Drosophila melanogaster: one gene and its partners. The protein of the gene in region 2 purifies or fractionates together with the protein of the main gene of each other region. This does not show direct contact. Each region holds a gene or a part of one and is shown on either strand. Other genes may lie near its edges. The genes, in order: neb, sti and Act5C.

Evidence for each region.
Region 1: the proteins of sti (region 2) and neb purify together in Drosophila melanogaster (affinity purification with western blotting; one study listed by BioGRID). This does not show direct contact.
Region 3: the proteins of sti (region 2) and Act5C purify together in Drosophila melanogaster (affinity purification with western blotting, with the first as the bait; one study listed by BioGRID). This does not show direct contact.

What each region holds. Positions count from the first base shown.
Region 1 is NT_033779.5:20,071,935-20,079,096, reverse strand, and holds the start of neb (nebbish), read right to left. Parts: upstream 3,341-7,162; 5' UTR 3,241-3,340; coding exon 1,801-3,240; intron 1-1,800. Other genes in the region: pr (purple), read left to right, coding at 4,072-4,139, 4,247-4,326, 4,761-4,906, 4,969-5,181; CG10730 (uncharacterized protein), read left to right, coding at 6,909-7,162; bwa (brain washing), read right to left, coding at 5,643-5,719, 6,451-6,743.
Region 2 is NT_037436.4:12,510,745-12,517,906, reverse strand, and holds the start of sti (sticky), read left to right. Parts: upstream 1-3,091; 5' UTR 3,092-3,239; coding exon 3,240-3,525; intron 3,526-3,781; coding exon 3,782-4,026; intron 4,027-4,082; coding exon 4,083-4,445; intron 4,446-4,504; coding exon 4,505-5,872; intron 5,873-6,103; coding exon 6,104-7,162. Other genes in the region: tral (trailer hitch), read right to left, coding at 1-491, 848-1,348, 2,335-2,455.
Region 3 is NC_004354.4:5,897,525-5,904,686, reverse strand, and holds the start of Act5C (actin 5C), read right to left. Parts: upstream 3,827-7,162; 5' UTR 3,674-3,826; intron 2,706-3,673; exon of another isoform or gene 2,591-2,705; intron 1,998-2,590; 5' UTR 1,990-1,997; coding exon 859-1,989; 3' UTR 1-858. UniProt on the Drosophila melanogaster protein: Actins are highly conserved proteins that are involved in various types of cell motility and are ubiquitously expressed in all eukaryotic cells.

The DNA of each region.
Region 1 (7,162 bases), on a different chromosome or scaffold from region 2:
TTTTAAAGGGGTGAAAACAACTAGTAACAATCAACATACAAACCCTAAATCTAAACCATCTAAATCTTTCAATGATTTTAAAGATGGATTGGGCAACCACAATCTGGTGCGTTTCGTCACTACGCTGGCTGCGAGAGTCCCCTACGGACCTACGACGCCATTCCAAGAAATATTTGTCTTCACCTTTTATGGCAAAGGCCGCGTACGGAAATAAATCATGTGAGCCATTTTATGGGCCGTACTACCGTAACGAAAAGCAAAGTGGACACTGGACACTAAATAACACTCAGTGGAACGGGTTTCGGGAAAAAAGACAAGTGTTTGGACTTTCGATCAAGAGCCTCTCACTTGTGGGCGCCATGTAATTACTCATTGAATGCAGTCGAATGATTATAAATTACGTCGCAAATGTCGAGTGCGCCTTTTTTTAGAAGCCAGATACTTGTATTATATAAAACCCTCACTTTCGGATTAACTAGCCTGGTAATATTCCAACAATCAAGTTATTACGAACGTGTGGCGTTCGCTTAAGAGCAGTTGTTAACTTAAAATGCACACATAAGTATGTTACATTGATTGCTAAAGAAAACGCAGTCGTTACTCAATTCAAACAATCGTGAAACAAGTAGCTAATATGTTAACTAATGCACAACATTCAAGTCTCATGACAAGTTTATAACAATTTTCCTGCTAATGCTATGTAAGCATTTGCTGAGGTTTTATAACAAAATAATTATATTACCCGGGTGAAGACACTGCTATCTTTTTATTCGCGTTCTTAAAATAAATTTCTAGAAAGTTTACACGTGCGCCTTTGTATCAGGTCATAAATTTTATGGTCACATAGGAAAAGCAACAACAATAGATTAAATAGATATGATAAGAGGCCAAAATTTTAATCACTCAATTGATTGAGGTGCGGGAGGTCTTTGATTTGGTAGACCTTAATAAAAGGCTTTCCTATCGAAAATGATAAGGAAATAATAATAATAAAAAATACACTAAGTCTGCTGGCAATCTTAGCAAACAAAATAAACAAACGAATGATAACAAGGTTCGAGTTTAGAACTCGAGATCTCTCATATTTAGTCCTATAAAGCGCAGATAAACTCAATCTAATCTCTGGCTGATGTTGTCGTCTTCTTTTCCTTGTTTTTTTCGGACAATTTGACGCTTTATTTTAATTAAAGTAATTAGCACCCCAGTTAATTGATAGAGCCAACATAAATCTGTCTAGCAGCTGCTCCTCGCAGTGCAGACATCATTAAAACAGAATTCGCGTGTCGCGCGAGTCGAGATGATATCTCTGTAGACAGTGGGCTTCATAGCTCATCACGAGATCTGTTGAAAAGACGAATATCTGCCAGCCAGTTAAGTAAACATTTGACCGTACGAACATTTTGTGGGTACTTTCCGCAGGGGTCAACGTGTCATTTGCATGTTGCAGTGCAGTTCTACGTACTGATTGCTTTCCGGGTAATTACTGATTGCAAGGGGACCCCATTCCGTGGGCCACTGCCTAATCGAAGCGAAAGTGTTGATAAGCAATCCTATCGGTGGTGGCAAAAGTGCGGAAAGCATTGCGAATATACATATGCATTTATATTGAAGACATGAGGTTATAAGGTTTTACTGAGCTGAACTTATTCGAAACACATACTTAGCAATCACTTCTGGGTACAATTATTGATTTCAAAAACCAAGGGGATAAGAAAGAGTTATCATTAGCCGAAAGTAGACCAACCTACTGACCCGGTTGATAAGTACAAACGCAGCTAAGAACTATTTCGTAACACTTACCCGCAACAGCCAGGTGAGCACGCTCTCGCGATAGGGAACGAAGGTGCTGGGCGTCCCAGAGCCCAGGGGTCCATTGGCGATCGCCTTGCGGGAATCGGCGAGAGCAGCAATTACTTTCCCCAGCGTCAGCAGGCTCTTGTTGATGCTGACGCCCTCGCGGATCCGCTCGCCGTTCGATCCGGAGACGCTAATGCGTTCGCTGCCCGCCAGGTCCACCAGGCTAATCTTGCTGCGCCGCGTCTGCCGCAGGGAGGAGGCCGTGCTCGAGTCCGTATCCGAGGACAGGCCATCGTCACTGCTCAGATCGGTGAGGTTTAGGACAATGTTGAAGATGGAGTGTGAGCGCGAGCTCTTGTCGTTCATGGCCGTGGAGGCAGTGGCCCGCTGGGAGTTGCCCACGGCAAGCCAGTTGCGGAGTGCCGAGTACGAGTCCACCGAGTGGGCACTCAAGTCCACTACGTAGGGCCCGAAGATGGGATGCTCCCTGACCTTTAGAGCCGGACGCTGCTGCTGTTGTTGCTGCTGGATGGGCGTGGATTCCCCGGTGGCAGCTGCCGCATGCTGGACACTCAGCAGATCGTGTATCTTCTCGTTGTAGATCTCAAAGTAGCTGACCTCCACCTCCACCTGCAGCTGCTGCTGACTTTTCACAGCCTCTATGCGGCGGAATAGCTCGTGGCAGAAGCGTGGAATGATGCCCGCCTCATCGTGCGGCGGTCCGCCATCCAGAGCGGCGTCATCCAATGCTTCAATGCCCATCATGCTGTACGATTTGCCCGAGCCCGTCTGGCCGTAGGCAAACAAGCAGGCATTGTAGCCCTCGAAGGCAGTGTCGATCAAGGGACGCGCTGTGCCCTCAAAGACTTTGGCCTGGCAGGCGAAGTTCTTTCGTTCGGGATCGCACGAGTAGTAGACCTGGTCGTAGCTGAAGAAGTGCGTCACGCCGGCGGAGGCATCAGCACTGCTGCCCGCTTGGACAGTCAGCTCGTTGCTGTTTCCGTGCACCTGGACCACATTGGTGACCTGACCACGTGTGCATTCCAGGGCATTCAGTGGCCGCACTCGCACCGCCACAATCATGTTGCTCTCCTCGGACACGCTGAGGCAGGACTCCATCAGAGAGTCCCGCTCCTTTGTCCTGCTGCAGCTGGATTTCCCGGTGCCGGGCGTCTTTGCTCTTCCAGGAGTAGAGTTCGCATTCCTGTACAGCGACGAGGGTGTGTAGCAGGCATTCAGGGCCGTGGGCTTGGGCTTCGGCTGTGGCGTGCTCCCGCTGAATGCAGTGTTCAGCAGCTGTTCGGGACGATCCCGGTGCTCCCGATCCTCCGCCCGCGTCATCAGCACCTTCTTGCGCATCTCGGATGCCGGCGTGGATTTGTGGACTCCTCGCGTCTGGAACTGCTGGATGCGCTGCCGCACCGGAGTGCTCTTGTTGCTCATGTCTAGATTATTATTTAGGTATCTCTGCTCGTTTTTTAAATAACGCCGAAGAGTTTCGAATTATTGCGCGGCGTCGTTTGTTATTTTTTTTCTAGTGAAGGGCGGCGATCGATAGCAAAGCAGGGTTGATTACAGTGAGCGGCGTGAGGTCCGGCAACGCCACCACGAGCCAGGGATGAACAGCACTTACATACTCTGTTAGCTAACTCTGTTAATCAGCTCATTTAAATTATGAGATAATTGACAAAGAACTAACATGAAATAAATAAATATATAGCGAAATTGTAATAGTGTAAGGATTTCTACCCATACAATAGTCTATTTGTGCAGTTGTAAATCACTGAGAACAGTTGTGGCGGCAAACTGCTCAGCTCTGGCCGATAACCGATACGCGCTGCCTTGTTATCGGGAGCAGCTGTTGACGAGCAACGTAGACAAAAGTAAATATTATTGAAAATCCATAGCAATTAAAGGTGAGTTCCTTGCTGAATTGAGTTTGTTACCATGGCTATAGCATACCACACCCTGTCTTTGCAGCACGCATAGGCACTTGCAACAGAAAACGAGGGAACATCAATCGCTAATCAGCTGCAATTAGCCGCACTCGAAAAGTTCAGAGAAACTAGTTCCGAGCGTGTTGATATCGCAGTCGCCGCATTTGTGGCTTATATTTCCTTGTTCCCTCGATCCAAGTACCATATAAATAAGCGCGGCTCAAAAGCAGGTTTTGCATTCATTGTAAAACATTGCCAAAGCGCGCAGCTGATCAGCCGCATATATAAATCCACATCCAGATACAGATCCAGATATATAGTATAAATCGGACTTGAAATGTCGCAGCAACCTGTTGCCTTTTTAACCCGTCGCGAAACTTTCAGCGCCTGCCATCGTCTCCATAGGTAATTAGATTGAATCAAATTGAATCATTCAATTGCCTGATTCAATCACGGCTGGCAAACCAATTCAGTTCGATTTAAATTGATTGCTGCATCTATTTTCTCTTCAGTCCCCAATTGAGCGACGCCGAGAATCTGGAAGTCTTCGGCAAGTGCAACAATTTCCACGGCCACGGACACAACTATACAGGTAAAAAAAAAAATACCCCTTAAATACACTTAGTCGCATGATTACCTGCAAAGTGCCACACTTATTATCACATAACCCCGGCTCAATCAGGCTTAACCCCCTACTAAACTGGTAATTTGAGCCCAAAGTGGTGCCTAACCATAGCAAAACCTTGGCCGACAAGCTCGCTTATCAAAACCATATTCAAGTTCAACGCTCAAAGGCAATCAATATGTTGACTGGCGACCGAGAATTGATAATGAATAATGGTTCTGAACGAGCATAAAGTGTCGCAAGTGCTCAACTGATTAGAAATTTGGATTATATTTAGATTGTCAATAGCTAAACCTTAAGAACTCAAGCTTGACTCGATGCCGATTATACCAAATTATACCAAAAAATGTGTGAATAGACTACGAAAGATGTTCTTTTATAATCCTTTGTGATCTTTTCAGTTGAGATAACCGTCCGTGGTCCCATCGATCGGCGAACCGGAATGGTGCTAAACATCACCGAGCTGAAAGAGGCTATAGAAACTGTGATTATGAAGCGCCTGGACCACAAGAATCTCGATAAGGATGTCGAATACTTTGCCAATACAGTAAATAACCAGCAAGCACAACACAACTTACCGTACTTATCCTTTATATCTATCCCCCCCAGCCAAGCACCACAGAAAACTTGGCCGTTTACATCTGGGACAACATCCGTCTGCAGCTGAAGAAGCCGGAGCTGCTGTACGAGGTGAAGATCCATGAGACCCCAAAGAACATTATCAGCTACCGCGGCCCGTATCCGCTCAATGGCATCTACAACCCCATCAACAAACGCATCGCTCACGATTCGTGCACCAACATCTCGTCGGATTCGGATTGAACATTCGAAGATTGTGACATCGCCTAACGAATTTTTTGATTGGACCAATGATCAGCGAAGACTCAGCCAACCTCTTAAGCACGCGCGTAGAAAAGGACACTTACCATGTAAGGGAATGAAAAGTTATACGAATTACACAGTATGTAGGAGTAAAATATGTTAATGCAACATAATATTGAATAAAACAAAGGCAACTGAAATACTATTCTTTATTGCGATTAAACAAGAGAGCTTGCATTCCTAACACAGTATATTTGTCGACATTCGTTTAGCCTAAGTAAATCATACATACTTCCTAAACTATCGCTCCATATGGCATCTATACATAATTTGGTTTCCGCGATGAGCAGGCGAGCTTTGTAGTTAATAAATAATTTAGTTGTTCCACCTTCTGCAACTCTAACTTATATCACGCTGTGTATGTCTCTGTTTGGAGAAGGCTCTCCACCCGATTTCTTGCCTTAGTTCTTTCGGTGCTTGTAGTCATAGTCATAGTCCTGCATGTACAGACTGCAGTAGACGAGCCAATCTTTCGAATCTGTGGAATCAGCAAGGTAGCGGGTTGAATGATTTGGATTGCATAATACTTTGAGCAACGATCTCTACTTTGTTTAGTGTTTTAGTTGTGGTTACTGCTACATGCTAGTAGATTTCCAATCCAGAATAAGTGTAGGTGTTAGTTGGTTAGTTTGCGTAAATTAGACAATTAACAAATTCAGGTACTGACAACCTAATACGATTTTTTGTCTCTTTGGGAAAGCGTAGGAACCATTTGTTCTGGAAGTCATGGGATGAATTAGTTCATAACATATCACAGTCTGATGGTAACTCATACTCATAGAACGGGTTAGAAGACTTTGATTAAACTCATTTTAGGGGATAGACGGAACAATAAACATCATTTAGATATGTCTTTCTACAATAGTTCCACGGAGCAATCGCCCATTCATTTATGGACTAAGCAGGGCGCTACTATTATTGTTTTAGGCCCAAGTGTTCAGGTGCACCGAATCTTAAGGCGTTAACAGACTTATCTCTTTTGGGTACAACCGCGAATCCGATTCGTTTGCTTAATATAAATACATCTATGGCTAATAAACTGTTTCAACTATATAAAAAGTGTGCGCTACAATTACGTTGCCGCAATTTTACAATAATTGTGTATGGTTTTAAAGCATGTACGATATTATCGCTTGGTCTTTGGTCACTTCTCTGCCAGCTCTCCATTCCGGCGCAATCGTCCTTAGATGGTGTTGCGCAGAGCCTTACCTGGATTCCGGATCGAAATGAAGGGTATCCCGAACTCGAACTCGTTCTTTGGCCAGTACTTCAGCAGCGGCTGTCGCTGGGGCAGCTCCGATTCCACGTAGAAGTAGGCGAAAAGCACCAGCACCGTGTAGGCGGCTATAAAAATGAATATGTGCCAGAAGCCGTGCAGGTATGGAAAATTGATCGAGGACCAGGCCTCGCAGAAGATCCGGTCATTGATCCAGCAGAACACCGCAACAGCCCAGACGGTCGTCGATCGGATGCCCAGGCGGTAGACCCTCTGGTCACTAACTCTGTATGAACAAAGATATATATGGGTATTAATAAGTTGTTATATTTCGAAATAATTCGAAAAGAAACGCTCATGCTTTTCGTGTTAAATTAGCCAAGCGTTGTGAATGCAATTATTAAACGAGACTTTCGGTCCGCCAATGAAAATGCTGCAGTCAAAGGTGATCATGACGCTGTCGCGTAAGGACTTTCAAGCCCTTTTAATCGTAATATGCTTTGGTTTTTGGATCGAGAACCTTGTTCAGGGCGCAGATGATTACTATGTATATAGTCCGGTGTGCCAGATGCCCGCCGTGAATCCCTTCACGTGGGACACAATGAGTAATTTCCACAGAAAGACGCTAAGGCATTGCCACAACGACAGCGACATGGTAACGAGTGAATTCGACTTCGAGACACATCAGTACCGACTGCATGTGCA
Region 2 (7,162 bases):
CATCATGTTGTTCGAGTTCTGGTTGCCGCGATGCATGTTCCAGGCCGGGTTGTTTCCACCTCCGTTTCCACCGCCGCCGCCGCTGCCGCCGTTTCCTCCTCGCTGCTGCTGTTGCATTCCGTTGCCGCCGCCGCGATTGCGCTGATTATTATTATTGTTGTTGTAGTTGTTGCTATAGTTGTTGTCCATTTGACGTCCGGAGTCCCGACGATCCCGCTGCTGGTTATAGAAGTCCGTTCCACTGCCGCCGCCTCGTTGCTGCTGCTGCTGCATATTGTTGTGGCTGGGTCCGCCACGTTGCTGATGCTGCTGATTCTGTTGCTGCTGGTGGTTCTGGCGCTTATGTCCTGCATCGCGTCCGTTGCCACCCTGGCCAGCGTTCTGTTGCTGGTGCAGCTGCTGCTGCTGAGTCAGCTCCGCCGTGGGACTCACAATCAGGCTAATGGGCGTCGTCGATCGCGAGGCACCGGCCAGCATGTCTAGAACGGAAACTGTACACATATAGAGGACGCAACGAGGACGAAAGTAAAGGAGAGAGTAATGCGTGTGGGCACCAAAAACATTAGTCCAAACAAATACTTGTGTCAAATACTTTGTATCAAAAGGTGACATTAACTATTTTAAAGGGCTGAGTAAAAGAGCGTAATTTTTAAGCATTTAAATCGACATGCTCGCTTATCGGATAAAGCCACAAAATGAACCATATCTTAAACTATTCCCGGAATTTGCGTTTTTGAAAATAGCAATCGCTTTTTAGCAGGAAACGAATTTTGATTTAAGATCACAAATGAGAAGTTCTACTTGTGTGCAATGTAATTTTAGTAATGTGTGGTCTACACCAACTCACTTGGCTGTTTCTGCTGCTGGGGCTTCGGTTGCTGCTGATTGCCACCGATGTGCATGAAGGGTCCGCTGCCCGGAGCACCGGAACCGGGTGCAAGCGATCCGCCCGCATTGCCCACCATGTTGGCCAGATTGGGACCGCCGAGGTTGCCGAACGGATTGCCATTGCCGTAGCCGGGTCCGCCGCCGCCAGGAGCTCCTGCTCCACCAGCACCACCACTGCCTCCACCGCTTGGCATTTGGGGCGGTTGCTGCGACGGCACCTGTTGCTGCTGCGGCGGACCGCTCATCCCGCTGGGCATGGGGAAGTGCTGCGGCATCTGGGGCGGTCCGTTCTGGAGCTGCGCCTGCATGATCGCCGGGTCATTGTGGTGCGGCAGCGTGTGGTTGTTGACAACGCGAATGTCCTTGATGTCCGAGCCACGGAATAGGATGTAGTCGTAGATCTGCGATTGCGGCGCTATCTGGAACTGGGTGTCCCGATCTTCTGTACCGAAGGATCGCACTGAAAAAGAAAAGAGGGTTAAAATGAATTGAGTTATAATATTAAATCGTATAAAGAGTACAATAGTGAACATTTTTTCCGTAAAGTTTTCTTATCCCAGCCGCCATTTTTATTCCATTGCTTTAAGAAAGATCTTTCACAAAACTAAACTTTTAAATTTTTAAATTTTTCCATTGCAAATAAGCTACCTTTTTTGCTTAACCGGTATTCTAAGTCGGTTTTTAAAAGTGCTCCATCTAATAAGTGGAACTTTCCGAGCCCACATCTTTCAAGTTTATATTCCAATTGTTTTAAAATGAATGCACCGCATTATATAATGCAATTGTTCAAAAGACGAATTACTTGGATTGCGGCAAACTTGTAAACCCATTAAGGTTAGGCCGCGCTTCCAATTTAACCTCAACTGGGGAACGCATGTTTTGCCGGTATTTCTCCGCTCTCCGTTCCTCCTTTTCGACTTCCAGGGCACTGACATCCGTAACGGGAGCCCTTGGATCCCGTTATCTGGCGCCAAATCGAAATTGTATTTGCAAATAAACAAATTGCATTGGGGCCTTGCTGGTGCTCGTTACTTTGTGCGCGGGTGTATGTGTGCCAAGTAAATTGCAAAAGCAACACTGTACAACAACAACCAAAGACAAAAACAGGCCAAAGCCAACATGACAAACAAAAAGCATAAGTGGGAGAGCGAGAGACGGCTGTCGAAATGGGTAATGGAGAGAGCGGTGGCGGCAATTGCACTCACCGTCTCCACGAGTATGAAATTACTGTAAAAACTAACAAAAAGAAACGAACCAAAAGGAAAGAAAGAGTAGAGCCACCAACACAAGAGAAATGGACAGAATCCATTTTCTTTTGCGATGAACCGTTTTTTTACACGATTTTTTTTTTCTTTTTTTTTGGCGCAGATTACGGCACCCACATATGTATATCCCGTATATGTACATATATGGGCGACGTGGGCGATTTTCGTATTAAATACTTACCACTCGAGAGCGCAATGGTGCACTCCTGCGGATCCACCGTGTACAGGCGGCCCTCGTATCGAATGTCCGCCTTGGAAATGAGGCTGATTTTGGAGCCCAACTCCGGTAATCCCCCGCTCATCTTGAACTACTTCGATGCTTCACTGCGCACTCACGCCGAAAATACAAACTATTATTAAATGTTTCTGCCAACAGGCACACGAATTTCTCTGTCAAAAGCAAACAATTATAGCGAGCGCGACGACAACGATTTCTCGACGGTTTCAGTCTCTGCTCTTTTACTTTTTTTCCGTCTTTTTTTCACACGCAATTGCGTTCCAGTTCCAGGGCGAATTTGCGGCCAATCGCCTTCTAGCCGCGTTTGCTTTATCAAGCTGTGTTTTTGCACAAGTGCGACAAGCGCTTTTCCAATGTCTGTGATGCTGCACACACGGCTCCAAATGTGAAAATTGCAATTTTCGATGCACAAATCTTTGCTCCGTCCGTCTGCGAAAACCTACCCGTCGAAAATGAACGATGCATACGAGCGAGAGCCTCGACGGTGTTGGAAAGCGCGGTTGTATAGCAGCGGCGGCGGCAGCGAAATAATAATAATAACTGTTTATGTGCAAAACTGTGCAAAATATAAAAGGGGACGCTTCAAAAGGTTGCCAAAAGTAAATAAGACTATTTCATTATTTATCCGTTCTCTGTTTGCATTAAAATTCAAATTTTATCCTCTTTCACAGGGCAGCCCTACTTGCAACCCTAAATACAACTCTGGAAAGTGAGCACGCATCCCTGGCTCTTCGGCTTCCCTCGGCGCATTTTTTTCAAAGCGAAACGGCAGAAAAATGCTCTGGCATTTTACGGATTTCTAATTGTATTATTTATGTGAGAAAATTGCAAATAAAAGTGAGTCCATCATGCCACCCAAGATGGAGCCGATTAGCGTGCGCACCGCGCGTCTGAACAACCTGATTCTGGGCAAAGGAGCTGGCGTCTGTGCGAAGCCCGCTGGAAGCGCCTCCGGATCAGGTATTCCCGCCTCCACCAGGAGAAGCATTGTACCCGTGAGCACCACTAGCGCCGCCGTGGCCGAGGCCATCTGCCGCGAGGGACTCCTGGACGCCTTCTGTCTGCTGTACAACGAGTGCGACAAGGATACGCTGAAGAAGCGCGATCGCAACATCGCCGAGTTTGTCAACAAATGTGAGTCAACTGCATTGGTCAGCAGGGTTTTCGGATGGAGTATCTACCATTCTATAGAAATGGAACTCAGAAGCCACATTTTTACTTCCTCGGGTCAGAGAATCTACTTTTGCTAATCATATTCCATTATTAAAGCCCACAAAATTATTGGGAGTAGAATCTCTTATAGATTTACCTGTATGTTCCGGTTTCCCTCCTTGAAAATAGAGCTCATGCCTAGTTACCCATTATATTACTATCTAATTTCCTACTCCAGTTCGTCCCATCATAGAGGAGACCCGCAAACTCAGGGTCAACGCAGATGACTTCCTCATCAAGACGCTTATTGGCCAAGGATACTTTGGCAACGTTCACCTGGTGGTGGAGCGGCAAACCAACGACATATACGCCATGAAGAAGATCAAAAAGTCGGTGGTGACGACGTCACAAGTCAAGGAGGAGCGCGATATCATGTCCATTCGCAACTCTGAATGGCTAATCAATCTGCAGTATGCCTTTCAGGTTTGTTATTTCCACATTTTCGCATATTTCAGTACTTGAATTAACTTATCACTTAGGATAACGACAATCTGTACCTGGTCATGGAGTACATGCCCGGCGGAGACCTTCTCAGCTTGATGTCACGCCACGGCCCTTTCGATGAGGACTTGGCTCGTTTCTATCTGGCCGAGCTCACAGTGGCCCTGCACACATTGCACGAGATGGGCTATGTGCATCGGGATATAAAGCCTGAAAATATACTGATTGATCGTTTTGGCCATATTAAACTGGCTGATTTCGGTAATGCCGCTGCCTTGGATCGCGATGGCCATGTGCTGAGTTTGTCGCCGGTGGGAACACCGGATTACATAGCTCCAGAGCTGCTGCAAACCATATCCACCTACAAGCTGTCCAAGTCGATGCACGATGTGAGTAGAATTGTACGATCGCAGAGTTTGGTTTGGAAAGTTCATAGCTAAAACAAGAACTCATTTTGTAGGTCAGCTGCGATTATTGGTCCATGGGCATTATAGGATATGAGTTAATATGCGAGACAACACCTTTTCACGAGGACAATGTACACGAGACATACTCCAAGATTCTCTCCCATTGCGAGGAGAGTCACCTTAAAGAGCTCATCAGCTTTCCCGCCGACTTGAAGGTGTCTGTTAACTATAGAAATCTTATTGAGTCACTGGTCACAAATCCTTCGAAGCGATTGTCCTATGAGCGCATTAAGAATCACCCCTTCTTTAGCGAAATTCCGTGGGGTTCCATTCGCTCGCAGGTTCCACCGATTATACCAACTGTTAGGTCTGACGATGATACCTCCAATTTCGAGGACGGAATTCGTCATAAGACTCGCAGAGAACAGGGAGTTGCTAAAAAGTCCCTTACGACTAACATGAAATCGAATGATTTCAGTGGCAAGGATCTGCCATTCATTGGGTACAGTTTTGTGCACATGGAAAAGTCGGCAATTTCCGCTACCACCGATGAAAAGCTTCAGGAGAAGCTAAAGGAACTGCTGCAGAAACTGAAGACTAGAGAGAACGAGATTTCCATGCTGAAACAAGATCTTCTGCGGGCTCAGCAATCGCTGAGGAAGACCGATAACAAATCTCAGGTGGTAGCCGATGCTAAAATGGAAATTAAGAAGCTGCAACAGATTATCAAGGAGAAAACAATGGAGCTTACCACTTGCAAGACGCAAATTAAGACACTCCAAAGTTCGGCCAAAATAGACGAGGAAATGTGGTCCAAGAAGGAAGCCACTATCACCGATCTCCTTCGCCTTAATCGACAAAAGTACGAAGAAGCCAAGATCGCTTCGGAGCAACGATATGAGAAACAATTGGCGGACAAAAAGCAAGAGCTGGCATCCACGCTGCAAAAGTTAGATGCCCGTGAGTTGGAGTTCAATGCCAAGTTCGAAGAGTGCAAGCATTTGTCCATGAAGTTGCAAAACTACAAGGATATGCTGCAGCAGATCAAGGAGCAGAATCTCAAGTCCGAGACAAACCATGAGGAGCAGAGGCGCCAAATGGCCGAATTGTATGAGCAAAAGCTAACAGATCTCCGGAAAAAGGTTCGCGACTCGCAGGATACAAACCGCCGCATGACAATGGAGATAAAGGAAATACGCACCGAGCTGGACGAGTCCATATCCTCCAGCAAGTCCACCCAAGAAGCGAAGAACGCTACCGAGCGGAATATCGAAGAAATTCTGCGGCGTCTGAACGAGGAGATCGCCTCCAATAATGAGCTTCATGCGGAAAAGGTCAAACTGGAGACGAAGCTGCAGCTGAAGGAAAATGAAACTCAAGAAGTTAGAGCCGAATGTCATCGACTTGAGAGGGAATTGCAGGTAGGTGGTTATTCATCTGCATTGGTTAATTCAATCACTGCAATATTGAGTAAAAAAAAATTATATAAAAAGAAATCTTAGCAGGCTGTGAATGTTTGTGTTTTTATTTTGTGTCAAACTTAAAGTCTTAATGATTTTTAATGAAGCATATAGCTTTCGATTGAATCGATGAATATAGAAACCTAAAGATATGTAATTTGTAAATATACTTTATGAATTAATTTAAACTAGCTTGCCGAATGTCGCTGTCAGCTGGCTGAATCCTCACTAGCCACCCAGGTTTCCCCCTACGAAACTGCGCCTGGATCTTTGACCGAACTGAATGCCATTGAGGATCAACTTCGCGCCGACTTGTTAGCCGCCAAAGAGAGTGAAAACCATCAGAAGGGACGCGCCGATCAACTGCAGACGCTGGTTACCAAACTGGAGCAAATGCTGGAGCGCTTCAACGAGCAGAGTCTTTCACCCACGAAATCGCACTCATCGCGTAAGCAAGAAGGTGAAACCGTTGGTGATATGCTCGAGCGGCAAAACGAGAAGCTGGAGGATAAATTGGCAGCAGTGCGAGAGCAGATGATTGTGGAACGTCAGGCAGCGCGTACAGCGAATCTATCGCTCTGGAAGGTGGAGAAACAGCTCGAGGAAGCTTTGTCCGAGAAGAAGTTACTGGCGCGTCGCATGGAACTCACAGAGGATCGGATTAAAAAGGTGCAGAACGCAAGCGATGAAGCGCAGAGAATGCTCAAGACGTCACAGGAGGAAACTCGCCAGCGGGAGTCTCGCATCGAGGAGCTGAAGCAGGAACTGGCGGCCGCCAAAAGGGATGTCCTCAAGGAGCACCGCCAATGGGAAAAGGCCGAGCAGGAGCGCATGAAGTGCAAGTCGGAGATAATCGAGCACTTGGCCAATGTGCACAGATTAGAACAACAGGAGACGGAATTGCGCCAGAAACTCAGGCAAATCCAATCGCGATTTGATGGTGTAACTTTGGAACAGAAGAATACCATTCGAGAACTGCAGGAGGAGCGAGAAAAGAGCAGGAAAGCGAATGACTCTTGTTTGGTCTTACAGAAGGAGCTGAAACAACTCACCGATAACTTCCAGAGGTTGAAGTACGCTTGTAGCATTACCGACAGCCAGCTAACTGAGGTGGAGACCATGCTAAAATCGGAGCAGGAACGAAATAAATCCCAGAAATCTCAACTTGATACCCTTCATGAGAAACTCAGAGAGCGCAACGATCAATTAACTGATCTACGAAAGCAACTAACTACGGTGGAATCGGAAAAG
Region 3 (7,162 bases), on a different chromosome or scaffold from region 2:
GAAAAGTGTACAAATAAAAAAAAAATACATATGTATGTATGCTTGTATGCTTGAATGTGTGTGAATATCGCACGCGAAACTGCAGCCAAGTGTGAGTGTGTGTGGGTTATTATTTTGCCGGCCGGCAAAAATGTGGAAGAGAGACAGACAAAAAGATGAGAGAGGAGAGGGCGAGGTTAGCAGCAGAGAGCGAGGAGAGCGGGAGAAAGAGAAGACAGATTTGATTTTCCTTTTTGTTTTCATATTTTTGTTTCACTTTGTTTATAATTACATCATAATTAAAAAATAATACATAAGGTTGCTGACGAATTGTACAAAACGCTAGTGTGTTGTTTGTGTTTTGCAATGTGTGTGTGTTCTTTTTGCGCTTTGGGAAATATCTTCTTTAAGTTCTTCTTTATCTTGATGTCCTTGTCATGCCGCGAATGTGTGTGTGTAAGCTTGTGGGTGTGCGTGTGTTGGGTGTTGTTGGTGTGTGTGTGGAATGGCAGAATATGCATTTTCGCTCATTTTCATTTTTTGTAGTTCTTGTTATATTAAAGGTTTACAAATAAAAAAAAAACAAAAAATACATAGTATATCATATCATATCTCATGTGGAATAAATTAATTATATTAATACGCTGGAACCACACAACATGCGCCCAAAACGATGATGATAATGATGATGGTGTGCAGGTGGTTCCGCTCTTTTCATCTTGTAGTTGGTGTTGTTGTTGATTTTGTTGTGCTGCACTCCAAACTTCCACCACTCGCACTTGCACTTTCGCTGCTGCTTCCTCGACTTCTCCTCCTCCTCCTCCAGCAGAATCAAGACCATCCCGATCCTGATCCTCTTGCCCAGACAAGCGATCCTTCTTAGAAGCACTTGCGGTGCACAATGGAGGGGCCGGACTCGTCGTACTCCTGCTTGGAGATCCACATCTGCTGGAAGGTGGACAGCGAAGCCAGGATGGAGCCACCGATCCAGACAGAGTACTTGCGCTCTGGCGGGGCAATGATCTTGATCTTCATGGTCGACGGTGCCAGGGCGGTGATCTCCTTCTGCATACGGTCGGCGATGCCAGGGTACATGGTGGTGCCACCGGACAGCACGGTGTTGGCATACAGATCCTTACGGATATCCACATCACACTTCATGATGGAGTTGTAGGTGGTCTCGTGGATGCCGCAAGCCTCCATTCCCAAGAACGAGGGCTGGAACAGGGCCTCGGGGCAGCGGAAACGCTCGTTGCCGATGGTGATCACCTGTCCGTCGGGCAGCTCGTAGGACTTCTCCAACGAGGAGCTGCTGGCAGCGGTGGCCATCTCCTGCTCAAAGTCGAGGGCAACATAGCACAGCTTCTCCTTGATGTCACGGACGATTTCACGCTCAGCGGTGGTGGTGAAAGAGTAACCGCGCTCGGTCAGGATCTTCATCAGGTAGTCGGTCAAATCGCGACCAGCCAGATCCAGACGCAGGATGGCATGGGGAAGGGCATAACCCTCGTAGATGGGCACGGTGTGGGAGACACCATCGCCGGAGTCCAGAACGATACCGGTGGTACGACCGGAGGCGTACAGCGAGAGCACAGCCTGGATGGCCACATACATGGCGGGTGTGTTGAAGGTCTCGAACATGATCTGGGTCATCTTCTCACGGTTGGCCTTGGGGTTCAGCGGGGCCTCGGTCAGCAGCACGGGGTGCTCCTCGGGTGCCACACGCAGCTCATTGTAGAAGGTGTGGTGCCAGATCTTCTCCATATCGTCCCAGTTGGTCACGATACCGTGCTCAATGGGGTACTTCAGGGTGAGGATACCACGCTTGCTCTGCGCCTCATCACCCACGTACGAGTCCTTCTGGCCCATGCCGACCATCACACCCTGGTGACGGGGACGTCCCACAATCGATGGGAAGACGGCGCGGGGAGCATCGTCTCCGGCAAATCCGGCCTTGCACATGCCAGAGCCGTTGTCGACAACCAGAGCAGCAACTTCTTCGTCACACATTTTGTAAGCTGCAATGGAAAGAATGCGGATTTCCCATTAGTTTTTGGTTACCTTATTTGGTAATGTAGAAATGGCAAAAAAAAAACTGAGAATTTGCGTGGTTTCCTTGGACTGCGCTGGTCTACCAAAGTACAATTGTCATAACAAACTAACTTGTTTTTCGTGTACAATTAAAAATCACTCAATGCAATGTACGTTTTTTTAGTACAAAATTTTAATCTTGGACAAAAAAAATTTCATAAAAAAATACTTTTCCGATTGAAAACTGATTTTCACTTGCGATCGAATTGTAATAAGAAATTAAAAGAACAGTTACAAAATAGAAGGCCCCGCCCCGAAAAATTAAAACCACAATACGAATATGCCGAAAAGGGAGGGGAGAAGCTTCTAGACGACACTTAACGAATGCCGGTGCAAAAGAAAGCCGCAAAGAGAGCACAGTTGCCTGTGTGTATGCGCCCTTAAAATGGCGGCTGCCTAAAACTCGAATTGGAACCCGAAATTAACATTACAAAATAAAAAAAAAAAAAAACACTAAACGCACTCTAGAAAATTTAACAATTAAGAGCCACGAAACTTTTCAAAGCTAGTTAAACTTTACCTTTTTGTTCGATTTAACAAATTCAAGGCGTGAAAACTACTGTAAACGCAAGTGGCGAGGCTGAGCTAAGCGACCGCACGGTTTGAAAGGAATGACTGGAATAAACCGACTGAAAGTGGCTGGTGAATGTTGAATGCCAGTTAACTGCGTTTTTCAATCGCTGCCTGCGTCGACGTCGCCATAGGCGTCGCTCGCTCTCGCCATCTCGCTCGCTCCGCGCCATGGTCGCTATGGGTGCGAAGGAGAGCGCTGGTGTGTTGAATTGCGGCGGCCAAGTTTTGTGACCATATATGGTCATGTTTCGAGGCGAAAAGCAAACCGTCGTCTGGCTTTCGCTCTCTCACACACACATACACTCTCTCTCGTTATTTTGCGCGTGAGTGTGTGTATATGAACGAATGCTCGAAGGTTTTCTCCATTTTTGCAACTACAACTTTGAAAAACCGGCAAAAATTTCTGCTTCAGCCAAAACGGCTGCCTACGTCACTATTTTCAAGAACCTGATCTAGTTTTACAGATTATAATATGCATATACTGTATGTATGTACATTTATGGATGATCTGGTGTTTTAGGGCGTGGGAAAAAAAGAAAGTGTTGGCGAATTGATTTGCAATTCGTAATTTGGCATATCTTTGGGTGAAATCGTGACACGCCCACATCAGCGAGCTTGGCTTTAAACACTATATTAGATCCTAACATTTGAGTTGGGGCTATTGAATTGCTTTGGTTTTTATAATTTCGTATAATTTGTATGTATATATCCTGAAATCTGCAGTTGTAATCCTGATTCTTGAGTTATGGTATTTGAAACCCTGGTTTTGTTAATTTTGATGTCTTTCGACCTATTGGTATTTTGATTGACAATTTAGGGCCAAACTTGGGTATTTTTGGAGTTTTGGTCAATACAATAACTCTTTAGCTCGTGGCTAGTATTTTTTGATCACTTTCAGCACTGGCACATAAAAAAATGTTTTGTTTACAAAAAAAATCACACATTTTCCGCGGCTTTTCTCGATTATTGCTTTTTCTTGGTGGGAGTGGTTCGATGGTGTTTTGTTGTTGGGAAGGGGAAAGCTACTTACATTTGGTGTGTTTTATTAAAATTAATTAAATAAATATAAATTAAGTCTTTCGGTTTGGTGTCTCTGGATTAGACGACTGCTGGCTGATGGAGCGGCTTTGTGTCGGGAGGAGTATCCACACAGCACAAGAACTCAAACGGTAGTGATATGAAAACTGGTCCCGCAGCCCGTTTTATAAAGCCCGCTTAGCGCTAAAACCTTATCAGCCGCAATGCTCTCCGCTCTCAAGTCGCGTTCAAAACTTTTACCATATATGGGTATGAATTGTTCGCCGATTGGGTTTTCATTTACGGAGAATTTCCTCCGCAACTGGGTGTTCGTGCTTGTGTGTGTCTTGTATATCGCCATGAAGAGTGTACTTCCATGGGTCCTATCAGTTGCGGCATGTGATTCAATTTGGGGGTTACTCATATTCGATACTTCAGCTGGTTATCTTTATGCTGTGATGGTCACGGTGCTTTTACACATTTTTTCCCCAACTACTCATTGTATGCCAAAACATACATATGTACATGTGTTTATAGTGGGTTTATTAGTAATGTCCAGCGATATTAAAACATTACAGTTAAATAATATTCATATTAGCTTACGTTTACTGCTATCTGCACTTCAAATTGGTTATTCCAGGGACATTTTGTGCAACACACATCTTCTAGTAGGGCATTCACTAGTCGTAGAAAACACACCTAACTTAAGCCGGTTTTAACAATAACGGCGAAACAGCTGCCAGACGAGAGAAAAGTACACAGCAAGAAGCATTTCTATAATGATGCCGTCCTAAATATGCAGCATTTTTGCTCAAATTGATCATTTCGTTGCATCGCTCAGGTGGTATAGTATTTGGCTATTGAATGTGATTGCTATCTTAATAGTTTTGAATAGTAATAGTGCAAATATTCATTCATAAAAAATAGGTAATCGATTTTTTCAGTGCAGTCTATGCGTTTGCGCAACAGAGACGAAGAGAGAGACGCCTCACACACAAGCACATGCGGTCTAAGCTGCTCTCCCTCTTTTTCTCTCTCTCTCTGGCTTGCGGCAGTTTTCCAGAGGCTGTGACTCAGTAAGCATTTCTTGTTGTTACCCTAACGATAAGCGTCCGATTCCTAATTCTCTTTCAAATAATTTGTTTTATTTTTTTTTTTGTGTGTTTTGAAGTCAAACAGCTTCATAAACAATATTAAATATCGCAATTGTTATTGCAAATGCATTCGTATCAGGCGCCTTGATGTTTTTCGCCAAAACTTCGTCTGCTCTTTGTCAGCGTAATTGCGTTTGCCGGTCGTGCCGTCTTGCTCGCACGCGGCTTGCAAACAAAAAGTGAAAGAGGGAAAGCCACCTGTGTTGTTGCTTTTGTTGCTATCGTTGGCTGCACACACATGGCAATAAGTAACCATATTGTAGACTTATTTATTTTAGCGTTTTCGTTGACTAATCTTTGTTTAAATAATTGCCTATTTCGAGCCAAAATGACGCATAAAAGGAAACGGCAACATGCGGTGCGTTGAGCATGCGTAAGCGAGATGGCGCTAGAGAGAGCGCAGCATAAAAAGAAAAAAACAACCGGCGAGTGGCGAGACACGAATAATACACACACGCACACATGGTCAAAGGAGTGGCTCCAACGTCGGTGACGTCGCGCCCAGCCACAGACCCCGCCACGCCCCGCCCCACCCTTCCTTCCGCTGCCCCGCACCCCTTTCCTTCCACTACCGTTTTGCCGCATTTGGTATTGCCATCTCGCTTTTTTGGCTTTACTTTGCTTTTTGAATAAGCCAAGAAACTGAAATCAAAGCGGACAGTCCGAAAATTGAATATTCCAAAAAACAACAATTGCACATGCACTGCGTTCGGCAAAAGACGCAGAAATTCAAGCCTTTTGGTCTGGCATCATCTTAAAATATCATCAGTATCATCATTGCCATTATAAATACATAAGAAAATGAGAATACATTAAAGGTATTTATTTTACAAACGCTTTACTTTATAAAAATACAACTATTATCGGAAAGCAATGCAAAATATGCCACTTAATTCCAGTTCTTTGTCATAGTCAACATATTTTGCAACAAAATTATCTATAGATAACATGTTTTTGTAGAAAATTCCACTAACTGATTTTCGTATAAATACAAATTATTCTCATTCTTCAAAATACTCGCCGACGTCATCGCGAAATTCCTCAGCATTCTTCGACAAATGAAGAGAGACAGCGAGTGACACAATCTTATCTTGCCGACGAGTCTTTGAAAATGGCCCCGGGTAACGGTGAAAAACATATAGCCAAGAATGGAGCGATCGCCAGGCGATGGAAATTGGCTTCAAATTGCTCCGAATATGGCCAGTTGGTCAGTTGGCATTGGATTGTGGAGAGATACTAGATCAGCTCGTTCTCCTTCTCCTCCGCATTCTCCTACTCCGCCCGAAGACGCTTCTTTGATCGCTTCTTTCTCGAATGTGTACATATTCATTATGTATTTGGTGTTTGGCGACGATCAGCCAGCTTTAATGGCCATAAAACGTGTCTTGGTTTGTGGGCCACATAACAGGCAGCGAGATCTGGAAAAATGATGTGACAGTGGAAATGAGAAGTAGGTGCATCTGCAAAGATTTGATTCAGAGTTGATGCCATTCATGGAAAGAGTCATTTATGAATATGATTTTTTTTTAGAAGTATCATTTGTGTTTTTAGAATATAGAATTCTATGGAACATTCTTTGGAACAAAATCATAACCTTTTTTTTGGCTCTATTTGCTTCTCTCAAGTTCGTTGCTCGATCGTTTGTTTTTTGTTTTTTTTTTTTTTTGGCAAGGCGATGAAAAAACTCGCAGAAATTTCCCCGGGCCAATGGCTTCGGTTTTCGGCACTTTTAACCTTGCGCCACTGAATTCAAGAAAAAAAAGCTGTTTTTGAAGGGAAACAGTTCGAAAAAGCGCTGGAATCCGACGGAGGGACGGCGGTGAGGGGTATCGAAACTAGAAATACTGAAATGGCCAAAAACAGCGCGTTGATGTTGACTTTGAGACCGCTATTAAGCGAAAAGCAACAACATTTAGCCATGATCAACGACCTTTCTCCAAAAGTACGTAACTCGTCACGTTTTCTACGCTCACACACGTCAAGCGAAGTAAATGAAATAAACAAGTTGAGCGACTTGGGCCAAAGCCATTGTCAAGGTCATTGAATGTGAAAATTTTCGTAAATTTTTCGCATTTCATTTGGTTTTCTTCCATTTCCATTATTTTTCGTGCACGCACCGCCAGGGTTGCCACCCCACCCCTTTTCGCGTTATTTTTATAACTATGTACATACATATGTATGTATGTTTGTTTCACATTTCAACAGCTGGCATTGCAGTTAACCGCTTTTGGCTATCTTCAAGTTGCAAATACATTTTCACTCCAGCGTTTTTGGCCATTTCGGCATCGCAACGCAATTGGAAAAATTAAATACAGCCATTAATTGCTTGTCTTAATTAGTTTGCGTGC